Struthio camelus: one gene and its partner. The protein of the gene in region 1 interacts with the protein of each later gene in a biochemical or structural test. Links are inferred from orthologs where the notes say so. Each region holds a gene or a part of one and is shown on either strand. Other genes may lie near its edges. The genes, in order: SH3GL2 and SYNJ1.

Evidence for each region.
Region 2: the proteins of SH3GL2 (region 1) and SYNJ1 form a complex in vitro, tested with the Homo sapiens proteins (2 studies listed by BioGRID and IntAct, with this or other methods). The link is inferred for Struthio camelus from reciprocal best matches to the Homo sapiens genes SH3GL2 and SYNJ1.

What each region holds. Positions count from the first base shown.
Region 1 is NC_090982.1:23,657,702-23,667,159, forward strand, and holds the start of SH3GL2 (endophilin-A1), read left to right. Parts: upstream 1-5,841; 5' UTR 5,842-5,948; coding exon 5,949-5,993; intron 5,994-9,458. UniProt on the Homo sapiens protein: Implicated in synaptic vesicle endocytosis. May recruit other proteins to membranes with high curvature. Required for BDNF-dependent dendrite outgrowth.
Region 2 is NC_090942.1:120,013,619-120,022,963, reverse strand, and holds the start of SYNJ1 (synaptojanin-1), read left to right. Parts: upstream 1-4,968; 5' UTR 4,969-5,086; intron 5,087-6,228; 5' UTR 6,229-6,300; coding exon 6,301-6,457; intron 6,458-9,345. UniProt on the Homo sapiens protein: Phosphatase that acts on various phosphoinositides, including phosphatidylinositol 4-phosphate, phosphatidylinositol (4,5)-bisphosphate and phosphatidylinositol (3,4,5)-trisphosphate. Has a role in clathrin-mediated endocytosis.

The DNA of each region.
Region 1 (9,458 bases):
TCCTTCGCTGGAGATATTCAAAACCCGTCTGGATGTGATCCTGGGCAATATGCTCTAGGTGACCCTGCTTGAGCAGGGAGGTTGGACTAGATGATCTCCAGAGGTCCCTTCCAACCTAAACAATTCTGTGATTCTGTAATTCTGTGATTTAACTGCATATTTAACTTCTGGTAAAGCTGAAATTAAAGGAGGCTTAAAGATTAGAAAGAAGCTGTGTTGTCACTAATAACCAGTGGAGTGAGTCACACAAACATACTAGCTTCCTGGTAGTAAACTACAGTGTCAGGAGTCATGATTGCATTGTCCTGCATTTTTCAAATACAGAATTGAAACGAACAAAGCAAGACATATGTGAAGAAGAGTAGGATTAAGAGAAGACCTCATTCAGCATGGAAATGAACTACAGAAGTATCTTGGAGGACAGAAACAACAGCGCTCAGCTACAATCTTATCAAAAACATGCTGTCAGAAAAGGCTCTTGCTAGCTAAAAGAAACAAAAAATGCTTGTTAGCAAGGTACTATGGAAAGAACAGATACCTTGGTTTCTGTTGAGCACTGTGACAAAAAGCCCACAGTGAGTTAACAAACACATGCTGTGGAAGTTTACCTTCAGAGGATTAGTACTGCAGCCAGTTAGGCTTTGCATACTTCATAAAGAAGAACTCTTTCATTTTATAGGAAACCTGAGCTGTTAACCATCCATTTATTTATTGTGTTTGGAAGAGCAATAGCACTTGAGTGCTAGATACAAAGCTTTTTATCTTTTTTTTGGGAGGTGTGTGTGTATGTGAAATGAAATGGCTCCTGTAATTCAAACCAGTGGAAGTCATTTATGTCCTGCTTCTCTTCGTATTAGATAGTTCTGTCTTCCACTGCTCCGAACTTTTTCCCTGTATTTTGTGTGTTTCTACCTTCAGAAGCTGCCAGGATAGTTCCTCTTTAGCAGAGGAATTAATTTTTTGAGAGATAAAGAATTTTTTTTTGTTTTCTTTGCGTCTTGCAGTTGTATGTTCCATGCCCATGCTGATGGCCTTTCTTACTCTTTTTTTGAATTAAGCATTGGTTTATGTACATAAGATTATTCTGTGCCTGCTGATTTACATTCTCTGGATTCTCCCGTCTTTGCTAGATCACCTGTTGCAGAGTAGCTCAATGGATTAGATGTTGAAAGAGGACTTTGATATTTAAGTTTCAGTTTCTGTCTGAGCTACACAGTTCCTGAACAACTGTGCATGACTGACTAAATAGACCCTGGACCTTGGATTCCCATAAGTTTCTCATAAGGTCCTTATCACAGCACCATACGTACCTTTGTAAATATACAAATTCTTCCCCAGTGAATGAAGATTTAAGTACATTTTGGTATTTAGAAATTACTTATTTAAAAAAGTAGTATTCATAAAGCCTGATAGTTTCTTTTTAATTACATTGACCTTAGGCTTTCAATATGCTTATGTTATCTAAGTGCTGAATACAGTGTTTTGCTTTCACTGAGGATTTTTCAGGAATCTAGAATGCCAGGAGAATCATATTCTCCTGGAATTTGTATCTGAATTCTCTGACTCAAGCACATTTTCCTAAAGTTCTCCTTTCATTTGTGGCACAATCTTTCACGGGCAACTTATTAAGGGATTTTTACTATGCCTTATGTCCCTTAGCACTGTTGAAAATATTAGCTAGTTGAATCAAAAAAAAAACTTTCTGAAATGGAGCTTGTATCAAAAACATATAGGTCAAATTCTTCAGGATCTACTGAGATTAATTAGAATTTTTCCATGTATTTCACACAATGACCTTCAGACTGTACCACCTCGCACAATAATAACATATAGTTTCTTAAAGAGATATTCAGCTTGCTCAGAATTTGGATGAGAGATTTGCAAAGTAAACTCAGGACACTGTAGCGGCATTCTTCCTTATGACTGGAGTTTCCCAGTATGAGTTAGTGAATGCTGCTGCAGATTTAGTTCTTATTGGCTTTAGAGCTCTGTCCTGAGCAGTAGAGTTGCAATTTTAGATTATCTCATTTATGAAAAGACTTACAACAATCTGGGGGCCATTTGATCCCATGTCACTGCTGGAAGGTCCCTACATTTTTATCTCTAAGACCTTAACAGACCTTTCATCTGTAAATATCGAGGTCTTCTAGAGCTTTGCTATGCCTCTTCATCTCTAGACAATGGAAATTAGATCAAAACTCAGATCCCTGTGGATGACCTAGCTGTGTTGCCCCTTGACTCCCTCTATGTAAAATGGATATAAATTCCTTTGAGTGAAATATGAAGGAAAATTTGAGAATTAAGCTAAGAATGGCCAGAAAATATGACTGAAACATCACTGGAAGGGAATGAAATGAAGATTTAGGGAAAATAAATAGGCATGTTTAGTATGTCCTTGCTTGGATGAAGTTAACAGAAGCAGTAGATGGAAATCAAGTTGCAAACTGAACAGGAACAGTTCTAGATTGTGTGTTAAAGGAAATATTGTTTATAGTCATGTTCAAGTGGTGCATAAAATTAATGGAAAACTTGTTCTGCTATCAGACTTTAGATTAACACCGTACAAGGGTGCAAATTGTTGCTACAACATCAAGAATTTATATTATAACTTAGACAGAGAGCCAGAAAGGACTCTTCACCACATTTTGCTGAGTAATGTAGTCTAGACGACTGGGTTAAGATATGGTTTTCAGAAGTGTGGTATCCTATTAACTCTGGTTATGTTCACTTGCTAATGTTTCTGAAAATGTTTTCTGATAATGTTTCTTGAATTAGGATCTTAACATTTGAACTACCCTGAATTAATTGTTGCTTTGAAGATCTAGTAGGGGATTTTAGGGGGAGTGGGAAGGCTGTTTTTTGCTTGTATGCTTTTTTGCTTTCTTTAAAAAACTGAAGAGAGCAGTCAAGGAATAGTTTGTTAGTAAATGATTGGGCAACTGGTGGAATAGAGAGGGATACTGTTATTCTAAAATCTTCAGAACGATATTATCATGTAGATTAATAAAAGTGCTTCTTGTACGATCATGATTGAACTATCAGTATTTACAAAATCATATTACAACTCTTCATGAATCAAAATAGTAATTATTTCTGACACATATGGGGAATCTCCTATATGTTACTGCCCATTGTACTTGCACAATAGGTTTAAGTTAATAAAGATTTTTTTGTTAAAATCATCAGATAATGACGAATAATAAATACAAATATATTAATACAAATTATTAAGTACATGATATATTTTATATATTTATACTAATAAATACTGCTAGAAGTAGCAGGCAGTTCTAAACTTACAGAATGGACCTTATTTTATAGAATAAGACTGATTGATTAACAACTAAAAATTGTAATGTATATGCGTGAAAGAGGACCGGGATTGCAACTACAAAGGTACTTACCGCATTTTGCTATTGCTCGGGTATGCAGCCATGACATTTTCTTTGTTCTTTTCTATTATTAGAATTTTTAGTTGGCATAAGAAATAAAATGAAGTGCTTAGCCTATTACATGTCTTTGTGTCGAAATGGCATTTGCAGTTGGTATATGTATAGTGCATAAATATGTATATATTACAAAATGTGAGACTGTACATTATAAACAACTATCATTTGTTATAGTTTACTGTGGTTTATAAAAAAAAAAATCATCTTCCTGAAGCTGATTCCAAGCGTTATTCATGTAGATTGCTCCAAGAAAAGAAGTCACAAGTGAATGATATACTGGACTGAAGAGCAGATATAAAATGAAGTTCTTATTCTCTGGCTGACAAGTATCACAATTTAATTTAGTCAAAGCGGTTGTAACTCCATGGACATGGACACATATAAATCTTGTTTTAATACTAGCATGTTCCACTCCCAGGAATATAGATGCTCTAAAAAAAAGCGTAAGCACAGTCAGAAGTGTAAGATTGGGCTGTGAGAATCCATGTGCGCAAAACCACCACCATAAGGTGAGTCAGGGCATCCAGCTACTGTTTGGGATGATTTTCAGATGGGCAACATACTAGTAATTCCAATCAACACTCACTGTGAGCTGCGGGGGCATAACACTTTTGAAAATGAAGCGCTCTGTCTCCAGCTTATCACCTAAAACCTGAAAGTGGTGGACCCCTCATAGGCCCACATTGTCTCTTATTTAGTCTCTTATTCATTTATCATATAAAATGTTTATCACACAAGAAAGTACTTTTCTGCCATACCACTGGCAGCCTTCAGATCCTGAAATTTAACCATTTTATTTCAGTTACCGCATAACAGAGGAAAAATATTGTTCATTTCATATGTTTATTTTATATAAATAAATAATATTACACCATTTCTAGTTCTCATAGGTCTATTTTCTACCTCTTGCTGTACTTGCAGACTACAGAGCCCTGTCCCAAGAACTATGCACAACATGAGTTTTCTGTTAAAGGCACAACGGCTAGTGCAAGAAACTCCCAGTCCGGACCTTGAAATTCCAGATAGTCTCACTTTTCAACCTCTAAAATCACATTAATACTAAAGTGAATGCAAGCGCTTCTTCTGCTCCGCGTGTATTTGGGACCAGGCCAGAAGGTGGTGCCTACTTGCCCATGGCAAGGCTATCACAGTTTCCCACTCTCTGATGAGCAGAGCAATGTTCTTGGTTTGTCTTTCTTCCTGATGAAAGCCCTCTGGTAACGATCCAAATGCACCAATGGGACTTTGGTGTCCAAGATCCCGCCCGTCGCTGTAAGACACTCATAAGAACAGCAATAAGTCACTACATCCCTGTGATCGAGAGGCGTCGCGTTGTCCCTGGACCCAGGTATGTGGCCCAGCTGCTTCCCCACACCCCGCAGAGCGGAGGCCGTACGTGGGACCGGACGGTGCTCCAGTGCACCTCTCCTCGGTGCCGGTCACGGGACCGAGCGCGTGAGGTACACCACGGTGAGTCCACGTACAGCTTAGAAACAGCTTTCAGTGCTTCTGAAAATGTGTTTGCTGCCTAACTAGCTCGTGTTGAATCTTTGTAGTAACAGAATTACAAAGCCAACACAGCATGGCTTCTTTCGCCCAGCTGATAAAACATGAGTTTTGTGCAAGTGCTCATCTCTAGTCGGGTAACGGCAACACACATATGCAGGGACTGGTCCAGCCTGCAGAGAGCATTTGGATCACATTGCTCACATTGTTTAGGCTTTTGCTGGCATAACCCGATCAATCTTAACTATTGCTCTGTTAGCGCTTATAATCTACAGGACTGAATTGCTGAAGTACAGGATATTGACTTTTTTCTGGCTGTGCGGGTTTTCGCTTCGAGCCAGTACCCGTACCAGCAGGTCAGAATAGGCAGGCTTTAGATTTGCGCTCCCACATGTCACTCGGACGTTGTGAAGGGGCAAGAAAAGGGGGGACCCCGGTGAGCCAGCGTTAGACCACAGTCAGTGGCCGGAGCGTTGCCTGGCCAAGGCCAACCAGGCCCGAGGACGGCAGCCTGGTGTGGCCAGCCGGACCACGCTCATTGCCCGCCCGCCTTTTCGCGTGACTGCCCCGTCCTCCCCCTCGCCGCGGGCTCATTTCCACGCAGGACGCCGCGGCGGCGAGGCGCGGACGCCGCCGGCCGTTAGAGCGCGGGGACGGGGGGGAGGGGCGCGGGGGGGGGGGGCAGGGCGTCCCCGCTCGCCCTTTAAAGGGCCGCGCGCGGCCGGCCCTGACGTCACGGCGCCCCGCACCGCGGCCGCCGCCTGAGAGGCTCCGCGGGCGCGCGGCTGGCGCGGCGCGCGCGGGGGCAGCGGGCAGCGGGCAGCGGGCAGCGGGCAGCGGGCAGCGGGCAGCGGGCAGCGGGCAGCGGGCAGCGGGCAGCGGGCAGCGGGCAGCGGGCAGCGGGCAGCGGGCAGCGGGCAGCGGGCAGCGGGCAGCGGGCATCTGGGCTCGGCTCGGCTCGGCTCGGCGCGGGTGCAGCGCGCCGCCCTCGCCATGTCGGTGGCCGGGCTGAAGAAGCAGTTCCACAAGGCGACCCAGGTACGCGGGTGCCAGGCGTGTGCGTGGGGTGCTCGGGTGGTGGCGGTGGCGCGGTTGGCCTCCGGTGCGTGGTGCCCGGCTGGGCGGCGTGCAGGGAGGGCAGCGCAGGATGTGTGGGGCTGCGCGGGTGTGCAGGCTGTGCGGGGGAGGAGGCTGCGCGGCTGTGCACGGGGGTGCAGGGTGCGTGAAGATGCTTGGGTGTGCATAGGTGAACACGGGTGTGCGTGGGTATGCATGAGTGTGCACGGGGGTGTGTGCTGTGCATGGGTGTGTGTGGGTATGCATGCGTGTGCTGTGTGGGTGTGTATGAGTGTGTGTGAGAGCACGGGTGTGTTGTGGGTATGCATGAGTGTGAATGGTGTGCGGGTGTGCATGGAGGTGCATTGTCCACTAGTGTGCATGGTGTGTGTGTGTGGGTATGCATGGAGGTGCATTGTGCATGGGTGTGTGGGGGTGTGCATAGGTGTGCACAGGTGTGTGCTATGTGTGGGTGAGCACAAGTGTGCATGGGTGTGTTTGTGTGGGTATGCATGGGGGTGCACAGTGCATGGGTATGTGTGGTGTATAAGTGCCCACCAGTGGGTGTGAGTATGCATGGGGGTGCACGGGTGTGAGTGGTGCATGAGTGCACATGGTGTGAGAGTGCACATAAATGTGCAGGTCCTCAGCTGCCCTCTGCCCCCTGGACTTCCCCCCCCCCCCCAGCCCCTTCTAGTGGGGTATGGGAGCCCCAGGAGTGCAGGGGCAGGTCCTGGGCCGGTCTGTAAGGACCGTGCTTATGTGGGGGAACCTCACTGCAGTGGGGCAGCTGTTTGGCAGAGATCCCCACTCAGGCCTTGGACCTCCAGCTTACACTGGCTTCATAAATCAGCAAGAAATGTGCCATGCTTCCTTGCCCTCCCCTTGCCCCCCAGTACAGCCAAAATCTGACTAATACAAGAATGAGTGGAAACTGCGACTTGTCCCTGCCATGTAGTTACACCAACAGCCCTTATGACCATGAGCGCAATGGGATACGTCAGGCTCTGCGTGGGCACACGCGTGCATCAGGTGACATTGTGTCTCAGCTTTCATACCACATTGTGCTGCATTGTTGGTTAAATGCCCTTCACGGAAACCTGCTACACTCATGACACGTGCTGTAAGGTACATCTAGGGCACCTGGGTCCATACTGCAGTGTCTGCTGCTGCTACTACTTCATTTGTTATTTATCCCCATGCTCTCTAGTGCTATTAGAAGCCAGGGAATCATCTTGTACCTAAAATAAGAATTGCAGGATCTGTGTCAGCCCTGTTTAAGAAGCAGGCAAACTGAAGTACACTTTTTAAAATAACGTCAGCTACTTATTCTCCTTTATTTAAGTTATTAAATACGCCTGCAAAGCAGCAGGGGTAAACTCTTTTTTGGACAGAGCACACTGTAAAAGCTGTGTGCATACTGGTCTATCCTTCAGATGACACTCTTGCACTGACTGCCGGGATTCATTTTAGCAGCAGTAGTGTCATTTGGAAGGAGAAAGAGTTTAACTGATTGGAACCAAAACTGTAAAATTCTGAGGCCAAATTTAGCAGCCTGACATCAGATGACCTACGGATTTTTGGGCCCAGCCTTGACTTTCACAGATTATGTGTACACAGGCCACAAAGACACATTCATGTATGAAAATGACTCACAAATAAGGTTGCAAAACTGGCCTGCTTATTGGCTTGTTTTCAGTGTGAGTGAGAAATCAAGGGCTCAGTCCTGCTGACCTTGCTCTAGGGAGTAATCCTTATGACTAGGGATTAATCTCTATGTGGAATGTGGATTGATTTTTGCCAGTACAAGTGAAGCTTTCTAGATAAGACAAAAGAACTGATTCAAAGTTTTAGAAATTCCAAGTCATTTCCTTGGTTCTTATTCACATTAAAATTCCAACTAATGTGTCATAATGTAGCCCTAAATCATACAGGGAACAACTTCAAGTTGTTTCTGAGGTTGCTGTGTTCTTTAGACTGATTTAGCCTTCTGCAGACCTTGGTTTGGTTTCTATTGTTAATGTCATTATTCTTGTTGTAACATTAGTATGCCATATACATACAGACTTCATGATTATCAGTGTATAATAGTATTATTGCAAAATATAGTTCCCATCAAAAATACAAAGACTGCTGGCACTATTAAATACTGATGTTCTGTTTTTAACTAGAAGTCATGTAGCAGGACAGGAAGTTCAAGCCTGACAAATTCCTTGCAACAGTGGCAATAGCACTAAGTCATTGCAAAGCAGGAGGAGACTTTGCTTCTTCTAGAATGAATGGAGTATTCACAACACTAATGGCTTTACCTTGATGCAGCACCATCAAGTTCAGAGGAAGTACTCCTGAGTTTGTAGAAGTAAAGAGAAGCCAGGAACTATTTCTACGGGTTTGTCTGTAGTTTTAAGAACAGTTGAGTAGTTTTGGATGGTACAGATTTCAGTGTAGGGCATTTGGAGAGAGTTATTTTAAAATTGCATGAGCTTTGTTTCCACGTGACTACATTCATCACAAAATATGGCATTTGGGAGGCATATTCAAAACTAAACACTCACAACGTAATGATTCTGTAGGGAAAGAAATGATTCTGTAGGGAAAGAAATGAACAAAAACCTTGGGAATGGCCATGACCAGGATTCCCCTGGGAACCAGTGATTGATGCTTAAATAGCAATCTGAATGGAATGATTTGACTCAAAAGGCCTGGACTGCAATTTTACCTGGGCTTCTACCTTTGTATTTTGCTTTTTTGATACAACATGATTTAATTTAATTGGTTTTAACCAAGGTAGAAGTCAAATGCATAGGTATTTTTATGGAAAACCCAGGATTCTTACTGGAAGAAACAGCTGAAGAAAAGACTTCCAGTGGGTCATCAGGAGCTTGTTACATGCCCAGCCTTTCAGATGGAGAGTAACGTGCTTCCCTGTTTAACAAGGCAGCCTATGAAGTACACAGTAAGAGATTAAAAGAATAACCCTAGTCTTTAATAAGAAGCAAATGAGGCTCCAGTCCTACTATGCTATTACCCAGGTAGTAAAAATCCTTAAGGCTTCAAAGGGATTCTGGGCTAATTCAAATCTTTCTGCCCACCTAAGTTCATTTGCAAGAAGAGTGTATTAGTGATGAGGCAGAGGTTGAAAGTCATGGGTGTTTATACATGTAGTGTAGTAATAGTGTCCTCAAAGAGGGTCTGCTGATTAGCAGGATCCAGGAAAGGTCCTGAGTGTATGCATCACCAAAGACTTGTGAGTAGTTTCAAAGAAATCAAAGGGAATATAAGTATGATTGAAGTTCATCTCTTGATGAACGCTTTTGTAGACTATCATTCATCTAGCCAAGTATTTCTTAAGTTATCTTGTGTGACTACAAAGAGGGCCAGAGAAGGTCGAATACCAGCATAGAGAGACACTCAAGGTTCATGAGGGGTTAAACAGGGTAGATTTAA
Region 2 (9,345 bases), on another chromosome or scaffold:
TAGGAGCAAAGCAGTCATACTTTATGTAATGATCTTTAAGTAATGTTACACAATTGTTTCTGGATTGAGGTATAATCCAAGGACAACTGCTTTAAAATTACTTCTCCCACAGTTGACCATGTATATCTTACTGTTCAATATCAGAATTGACAAATAATTACAACATGTTATACATGGATGTACTAGATGATGAGAGCTTGTGAGAACTACTAACATACTAAGGGACATGACAATCTTATTTCCACTCAAAACTCCATAGGGACTCTTGAGAAAGTCCAGTACTCCCTTTAGTAGTGACCACCGTTGTCTAGAACAGGAAATATGTTCAATGTGTAAGAAAATACAGCAGGTAAAACATTCAATCATTCTGAAATTTTGATGAACAGGACAATATATTACAGAATGCTTACAGGTATTTGGAATTCCTGTGGTGTGCCCTAAAGGTTATCAGTAGCAAAGGAAAAAATCTTGTCCTTTCCTATAAAGGAAAACAAAATGAAAGCTGAAATTTGAAATGGAGAAGTTTGTAGAAAAAATGTGCAGATAAGTGGATGTGTGTGATTCCTCTTTCTCCTCTCTTGAGATGCATCTCTTTCTGCACAAGTTTGCTCATCTCCAGTTCTGCTTTCAGTTCTCTCTAAGTTATTCTACAAAAACTTTTTTGAAAGAATCCTGAATATATACACCGAGGGGAGGAGAGATTTGTACCTGCAGCTTTGATGTGATGTATGGCTTTGGTATAATGACTTTGTGAGGTTTGTTGCAATATGCTGAACTCTATGTCCTTATGAATGATGATGCTTAAAAGTAGTATCCCTGTCATCCTAAGTTTATTAGTTGCCCCTATGAAAATAAAATATCCTAGAATCAGTGTTGTAAAAGGGTGTGAAATGAACAATACAGTTGATCTGACCATTGGCCTTTACATGTATAGTCACAAGCAAGACATTCCTGTGAGAGCCACCATTAAGTGGAATGTAGAGAAAAGAGAACTCTGAGGAGGCTTCAAAAAATCTTTGTTGCATGACGTGGAATGGTTCTGTTTTCTGAGAAACTCAGATAAATGAAACAAAGTGAATGGAGCACTTTGCTAAGAGTTGAGCACTTCTGCCCTGGATTTGGTACTCCAAGTAAAAATGTTTTGATAGCTGTAGAATTGTTAGTTGAATTTGTCTGAAATAACATAGTGGGGTTTTTGTTGTTGTTTGTTTTTTGTACAAGAGTTCTTAATTTCTGTATGTAACTATAACTCTTGCCCTAAATATCCAAAAAAAAAAGTGAATGGGTGCAAGATAACTGCATAGAGACACACTGAATACAAAGGCCTACAATTTAAGTCTCTGCTCCCAACAATCACTTAAACATATGTTTTTGTTCAATACGTGAATGGTCCTATTCACTCCACTTGCATTACTTTTGTGCACAATGTGCGTGTCTAAATGTTTTTATAGATCAGAGCCCAGAAGTAAAGCAGAGATATATCTCCCAAGATCTCATGTGGTATTTTCCATACATACTTAGGCCCAAATTTTCACCGCCTAAATCTCACACACATTCTTGAGAGTTTTCTGTTTGCTGTCTTCAGCCTTTTGTGATACCTAGCTAACAGAAAACATTAGGCGCAAAACTCTTAAGTGGAGCGTAGGTTGTTTGACTACAGGGCTCAGGCATTCTGGGGACACGTAGCTTAAAATCACACTTAACTTACTTATTACCATTTTACCCAAAAGCTCCAATCAGGATATGGCATTCATTGAAGTGAAGATGCTGAAACTATCATATACACACGTGGTTACTTTCTCAAGTAACAGGCTAACAGTTCAGAGAACCTGCATCCATGAACACATGAGGGATATAGCATACTCAGCTTTAAAGATTTAATGAGCAGGAGGAGTTTGCAGGAATGAGGCCTGTGATACGTGTTAGGAAGGAGATGCAAATTAAATGTAATTTGGAAGCTTTAATGTATTTGTTGTTGAAGTGCCAATTTAATTATGTACAGCACCACAGATGACCTTGAGGAAAAAGGTGTTTTGAACACTGTGTGGCATGGCAAAAATAGCCAATGGTGTCGCTGCCAGCTGTGTGTTTGCCAAGGCACTGGAGTGCTGGGCTGCTGCTGCTGCCAAGGGGAAAGGTGGGGTATGTGAAATGGCAGCTATTGCTGGGGCTGAGGCTGTCTCTCCCCATGTGTTGCAGTGGCTATGCCCTACTCCACATTTTGCAGGAGGAGCTGCAAGCCTGGCTTCCTAGAAATCTTCCTCTTCCCTTTTCTCCACCCTTTTAAGTATCCTCGTTCTGCCTTTACATATGTCTTCCTTGTGACAAAAGCAGTACGGCCCTGGGCTTCCTCATCTTTCTGGACACCATAGGTAAATCTTGCCTATGTTGCTGAGAAGCCTTGAGCCAATTCCACTTTCAGACACCAAGGAAGTTTTAAATAGGCTGTACTGTGAAGCCCATTGAAGTCAACCAAGAAGTTTCCATTGGAATCAAAGTGGATATGACTTTGTCCTTTAAGGGCCATTCTGGAGGTGAGGGCGTCATATCATTTTGACGAAACGTAACGGATGGCGAAAGCCAAGCTTTCATCCTGCTTTAGTGTCCAGCTTTGCACAGTATTAGCAACCCTAACAGATGACTGAGGCAAGGCTTAGAAATGAAGAAGTTCATTGAAAATGTCATGCCGCGCTCCCATCTTAATCATGCTTAAAGAATGTAGAATTTGCAACAAAGTACCCAAATAAAAAAGCACCCAAAGAAAACACTCATCTGCAATCCGCTTTAAATTACTATAATTTTTTTCACAGCTTTTAGCTGATGTTTTTGTACATAATCCTAAATCCTAATCAGAAAATATTTTATATTACCATGTAGCAAAATATCTCTGGCCATATGCAAAAAAAACAGCCCATCTGCATTTCTTTTATCTGCAGAAAAAGAAGTAAATATATCTAATGCATGAATTGTTTTAGCCTATCAATAGATATCAATTTAGCCATCAGTGTATGTTGTAAAACAACACTTAATTTACTGTCATGGTTAATGATCTTTATGAATGGATAAAATGAGGATAAACTTTCTTTGCTTCCACAGCAGCCACTTTGTTGTTCTCTTTTATTTTTACATTCTCGTTAGTAAAAGTTTCATGAGTTTATGTTTATTCATGCTATGCTAGAGATAGTTTTAATGTCTACCACGAGCAACTGAGAGATGTCTTCTGCACAAGCTGTAATAAGTTATTAGCAATTATGCACTAATTTCAGAAATCATGAAACTCATTTTAAAATATTTTTAAAATACAGTATTTTGATCATCTATAGAACATTTATACGGGGGTTGTCATAATGTGCATAGGAAGGTAGTCAACTAAAAATACACAAACAGTACTTACACTATATCTAACATCACAAATATTTTCTCTGCTTTGTGTTCTGAGCCACTAGATAGTATATTCCACTCAACTGGAACTTATCCCATAACAAATATATGGGATATGTCATATTTAAATATAAAAAGGCCATGCATACAATCTACTGCCTCTTTAGAATAGACTAGAGCTATTTTGGATGCAGATTTCAAACCTATTTTCAGAGTTTTAACATAAAATTTGTAAGAAAAAAAGGTCTTTTAGTTTTAAGAGTCTAAACTTTGTTAAGGGAATTGATCTTGGACAAGAAGGTAGTGCAGAAATGCTACAATCCGAAATGAAAGGTGGCCCAGCTTTGGTCACTAAGTCCTTCTAGGGTAGACAGTTACAGTATTTCACTCACTTCCATTTATGCATATTCTTCAATCTCCAAATAATAGTCTCAGTGAAGGGAGTTTCTACACAGTTTTACTGATTTTTTTCTACCTCAGCTCTCCATTCAAACTTATCCTGGCCTCAGCTTTGTCTCAAGCACAGAGTATCCCCACTTCTCTTGATTTTAGCATAGCTCTCAAGCCTGCTGTCATCTGCTCAGCAGCTTGTAACGTATCAACACAATATAGTGAAGCAGTACTCCTCCACTAAAAGGCTGCAGCGGCTGGATGGAAATTTCCAAAGAGATGTTTAACGTCTGTACCTAAAACTTTTGAAGCTTGTCAGAAAAATGCAGGCTTTAGCCATGGTTCAGTGTTCCTACCCTACCAACAGTGCTCGGAGAGCACTGGCACTGACACTTCTGTGCCCATGGCACATTTTGTGCAGGGAGGTTTTTCTGTTTGTGTCACTACTCATGAGCCTATCTGAAACATTTTTCTCTCTGCTGCATCTCTAATAAACACACAACAGAGTCTGGGGACTGATCGTGTTTCAAAGCAGCCTCACTATGACCCCACTGCATGCTCCGTTTTCAACTTTCATGTTGGCAATCCAGCATTGGCTTATGACCATGCAAAAGAAGAATTTCTCCGGAGGGCTCTCTAGTTCCTTTTTCCTAAGGAACTAGGTTTCTTCAGGCTGAACCACCACACTAGGCAGGGCTTGCCCGGCTGGCGCTGTGCTTGGTAATGCTCTGCACAGGTTTAGCCCGCCCCTGCTTTAGAGGGCACAGGGCCTTCGCAACGGATGTCACTCACAAGGACGCAGGTCTGACACAGGCTCCCTCCAGCTCCATACCGCTGCTCCCACCGTGGCGCCTCAAGCAGCAGCTCCCCGTGCTGGCAGGCCCGAGGCTGGGGGGTGCGAGGTGACACAGGAAAACACCGCAGTGACAACGGCCGCGCCCGGACCCGCTAGGCAACGAGGTAAGGACCGAGCAGCCAGCACCCCTCACCCTAACCTGCAGCCCGCCGGCGGCGGCTCCCTCACCGGCCAGCCCGGGCGCCTCAGCAAACCTTTCTTCCCCACACCTGCCTGCCTGCCTGCCCCGACGGCTGCCGCAACGGCCGCCGCGGCGGCGCTGCAACGGCCGCCCGCGAGGCTCGCGCCCCCCCGGCCCCGCCCCTCTCCACGCCCTCTGCCGCCTTCCGGCCGCGGGAGGCGCAGTGCGGAAGGGACGCGGCGGGGCCGGAGCGGAAGTGAGGTGCCGCCGGCTCCCCCGGCGCGGAGCGGAGCGGGCGGCCACAGCGGCGGCGGCAGCAGCAGCAGGTGGCGCGGCCGGTGAGGGGGGCGCGGACGGCAGCGCCGGGACGGGGGTGGCGGGGGAGGGGGCCGCGCCCGTGAGCCAACCGCGGAGCCGGCCCGGCTGCCGCCGCTGCGGAGCTGGGGCCGCCGGGGCGCCGGCGGCGGCAGACAAGATGGAGGCGGCTCTGTCAGCGCCGCGGGGGCCGGGGAGGGGCTGCGCGCACGGTGCCCGGCTCCGCTGGGACGATGGGGGGGGGCGGCGGCGGCTGGTGTCCTCGTCCCTGCTGCCCGCCAAGGGAAGGGCGGCGGGGCCCCGGGGCGGGGGAGGATGGAGAGGGGTCAGCAGCTTGTTCCGTGTTGGAGGCGCAAAGTCCGTGTGGCCGTCCGGCGCAGAGGTTACCGGCGCTGAGCTCAAGGGAAGGAACAGGGCAGGAAACGCGCTCCCGGCTTCCAGCAGAAGCCTCCCTTCGTCATCTCTTTGCTCAGCTTAAGCCCTTAAAATTTGGCTCCTTGTGTGTTTCCTTAGTAGCCTAAGCCCTTAAAAATCTGCCCCGTCCCTCTGTTCTTTATGGTTTCTTCTTTTTCCCTTTTTATTTTAGAGGAAGCTCTTACCTTTATGGCTTTTAGGCAGTTTCACTAGTACAATACTGCAATGTCTCATTCATTGGCCGCTGCAGGGGAGGGTTTCAAGCCAAACAAAACCCTGCTTTCATTAAAACAACACCAGCAGGCTAACGTTTCTGTTTGATCTTTTAAAACCTCTTAACAGCTTTCCCAATTAAACTTCGCTGTCCTTTTGTACAAGGTCAGCATCAGTAAAGTTGTTGCAAAATTTGAAGCCTGCCCAGGCTTCTGGTCCCCTTCGTTCAACATTTAGCATATGAGTAAGACAGTTGTTCTGTGTTTGTGGAGACTAGAGGAGAATCGTGTTTTCTGTTCTTCTAATAAATCATGTTTGTTAAATATCATGAAAGAAATTCAAGTTGTCTCAGAGAAGCTTTTAAATAAACCTTCTGGAGTTTATTTATATGTCGATAATCACGTTCTTGAAACATGGTTATGTTGTCTTTAATTATTCCTTATATACCCTTGGAATATGAGATTAAAAAAAAAAAGCCTCATGAGGTAAAAAGAATGAGCGTGACACCTTTTTTATGTTAAACCCATACATTTCTTAGGAAAGGATGGAAGTCAGACCTGCTTTGCAGAAGGTATCCGGAAGCACAAGAAGCTTTCACTAACATCATCTTATGTTGGACAGGACTGCCTCTGATAAAGGCAAAATGGCTTTCAGTAAAGGATACCGTGTCTATCACAAGCTGGATCCACCTCCATTCAGTGTGATAGTGGAAACCAGAAACAGAGAAGAATGTCTCATGTTTGAATCTGGAGCGGTGGCTGTACTCTGTAAGTTGATATGTTTTGATAGCTACAATGTAAAAAGTTGGCTGACTTGATATTTTGTAAGCTATGTGTTTTTTATGTATGGATTATAAACAAGGAACAGCTATTCTGTTTTCTTACTTGCTAATGGTGAGGCTTCTGCTTTAAATGAAATGACAATTTCTTCTCATCTGTTGAGAGAGAATTTTGCACTTTAAATTAGATTTCAACATGAACATTTTTTTCATGTATGCTAAATTTTCTTGTAATAAGTTACAACAACATCTGTTTGTGCCTTTGGTTCAGAACAACTTTATCTGAATACGTGATAGCTCGGTGAAAAGTGAATTCTATATGTTGTACCTCATAATAAAAAGTTCTATGTTCTTAAATGGTATATCATCATAATTTTTATCTCATTTTATGTGATGACATTTTGATGGCTTTTTGATTTTTAGCTTTATTTTGCCCAGTATTTTTTCCCATCATCAGACTTGTTGTATATTAGTTCATCCTGTAATGAAATGAGTATATATTTGGAGCAAGGTGTTCTGCATTGCCAAGTCATTTTTACGTGTTTTCAGTGATAACTGCTTTAAATATTTCTAATAAATTCTTTGGCTTTAAAATTTTTTTTAAATCAGATTTGTAGGAGGACACTAAAATGAGAAGTGCGGAAGAGAACTGTCAAATAGTTAAGGTCTTACAATGTAGTTTGGTTTATATTTTTCAGTAAGGAAAAACTTGATTGCAAAGGGGTTTCCAGGCTTGCATTTGCCTTTTATAGAAGGCTGAGGTACCGTGGATGGGTTTTTTTTTTTTTTTGGAATCAATAACTTTTTTGATGAAAATCAATTGTGATGCCTGTTCATGATTTTCTAGCCTAGCATGCTCAGAAAATGAGAGGCTTGATTCACTGCCTGAAATCTGAGGAGCTCAAAGACACACCTCTCAGGAAGGTGCTCTGGCCTTGAGACTATGGAGTGGGCCGAATGGGGAATGCAATCTTAACAAGGTCTAGCGCTATGCTGCAAAAAAAAAAAAAAAACAAAAAAAAACTAGGGTTCATTAGGCTGAAGGTAGAAAAGTCCCATGGTTAAGTATATGCCTGAGAAAGGTAAATCTCAGGGTTTAATTCCCACCCAATGACTGGATAAAACAGGAACATTTATTAGTGCATGTAAATGTAACAGTTCTGACAGCAGGGATTGATCATAGATTTCCCTATTTCATGTGTGAGTGCCTAACCTGCTGCCCAACTACTCTTACAAGACTCGGTAAGAAACGTGAGTTCCAAAGAAGAGTGGGATTCAAGCTACATTTCCTTTCTTCGGTATTTGCTGTTGGCTCTTGTAGACGTGAATGTGCTCCTTGGCTATGGCATAGTCTTTTCTGAGGCATGTGATTCTCCCTGTGTCCTTTGTAAGGTGCTTAAGAAGTCAGGCTATAGAGTCATTTGTAGTGGACAGGCTATTACAAGCAAATGCTCTCTAGCATACCGCTTAATCTGCATCTTAGTTAATGTGTGATTTGGACTAACTGTGACTAACTGTTAGAGGCCTAGTGATGGGACACACCATTTTGAGGATTGTTTTTTCCTGTTACAGCTGCTTTTTGTGGCATATCTTGTTGACATTGCCAGCGTTATTTTAAAGACATTGTGTAGTGGGCACTGGGTTGTGAGTAAGTGTCCAGTCATAAGACTAGTGAACGGTTGTAGTGAAACAAGGGAAGAGTGTTCCGAAGAATTTTGGAGTATTGGTTTTTAACATGTAGTCAATAATTAGTGCAGATGTTTAAGTTCATTAGAGAGCAATATGTTGAAAATAACTTATTCCTGAAAGTTAGGCTCAATAAAGAAAGCAAGTTTCACTTCTTATAGTATGACTTATATCGCTGGTGGTACCTTGGTGAAGATTCTCTAAAAATTCGAAATCTGTAACCATACTGAAGTTCTGGCCCTCTTCTGTGCCTTGTATTGGTATCAGACAGAGGAACGGGAACCCTGAGGAAGGTCTCCAGTCTCTCTCCTCTACTAGTTAACAGTGTGTTTGTCCTTAGTGTTTTAATTGGCATGTTACAACTTGATAAATATTTATACTTAACTGTAACTAGTTTTCCCGAATATTGTAACCTGAACTTGTAAACTGCTTCTCTCTTTCCATCTGGTGAATGAGCTTATTTTCCTAATGCGTATTAACTTGTGTTGATTTGCTTTAATTTCTTGTTTGCACATAAACTCTTTAGGCACTGAATCATATGTTTTGTTTTGTTTTTTTTATGGTTGAAAGATCATTCATCACTCTCAAGTCATCTTGAACTGACAGAAGAAGGGTAGAGTCCACTTGCTCAGGTGGTTTTCTTCTGCTTGCTATTAGCTCCTGAAATATATTCCTTTTAATACATATTAAAGAAGTACAATTATTAGTGCTTGGGGATGTTTTGTAAACTGCTACTTCTTCGTCTCTTTGGTCATGCCACAGAAACCTGTCGGAAGATTCTAGTCAAGCCTGACAAACTTCTGAATATTTGTACAAACCTAACTTCAAAGCCAAAGTTAATGAAAGACTGGCCCTTTGGGAAAATCCTCAAGATGGTTGTAAAATCTGTCTAAATAGATAGAAAGGTGGCCAAATGAAGTGTGTTCAAATTCAGTACAGTATCATTGCAGAGTATTACAGACACGTGCTATATTTTTTGTTGACCGTGGTAATACTTTTTAGGGTCAACAAAAGCTGACAGTACTCATCTCAAGCTGTTAAGTAATTTTCAAAATATGTTAATAAATACTGAACATAAAATTAAGGTGTTTAGCCTTATGCCCAATCATAACTTTTAGGTTTATGTAGCAAGCATAACACATTGCATATGCTAATGAAATACACTTTAGCACTAAAAGCAATTCATATGGT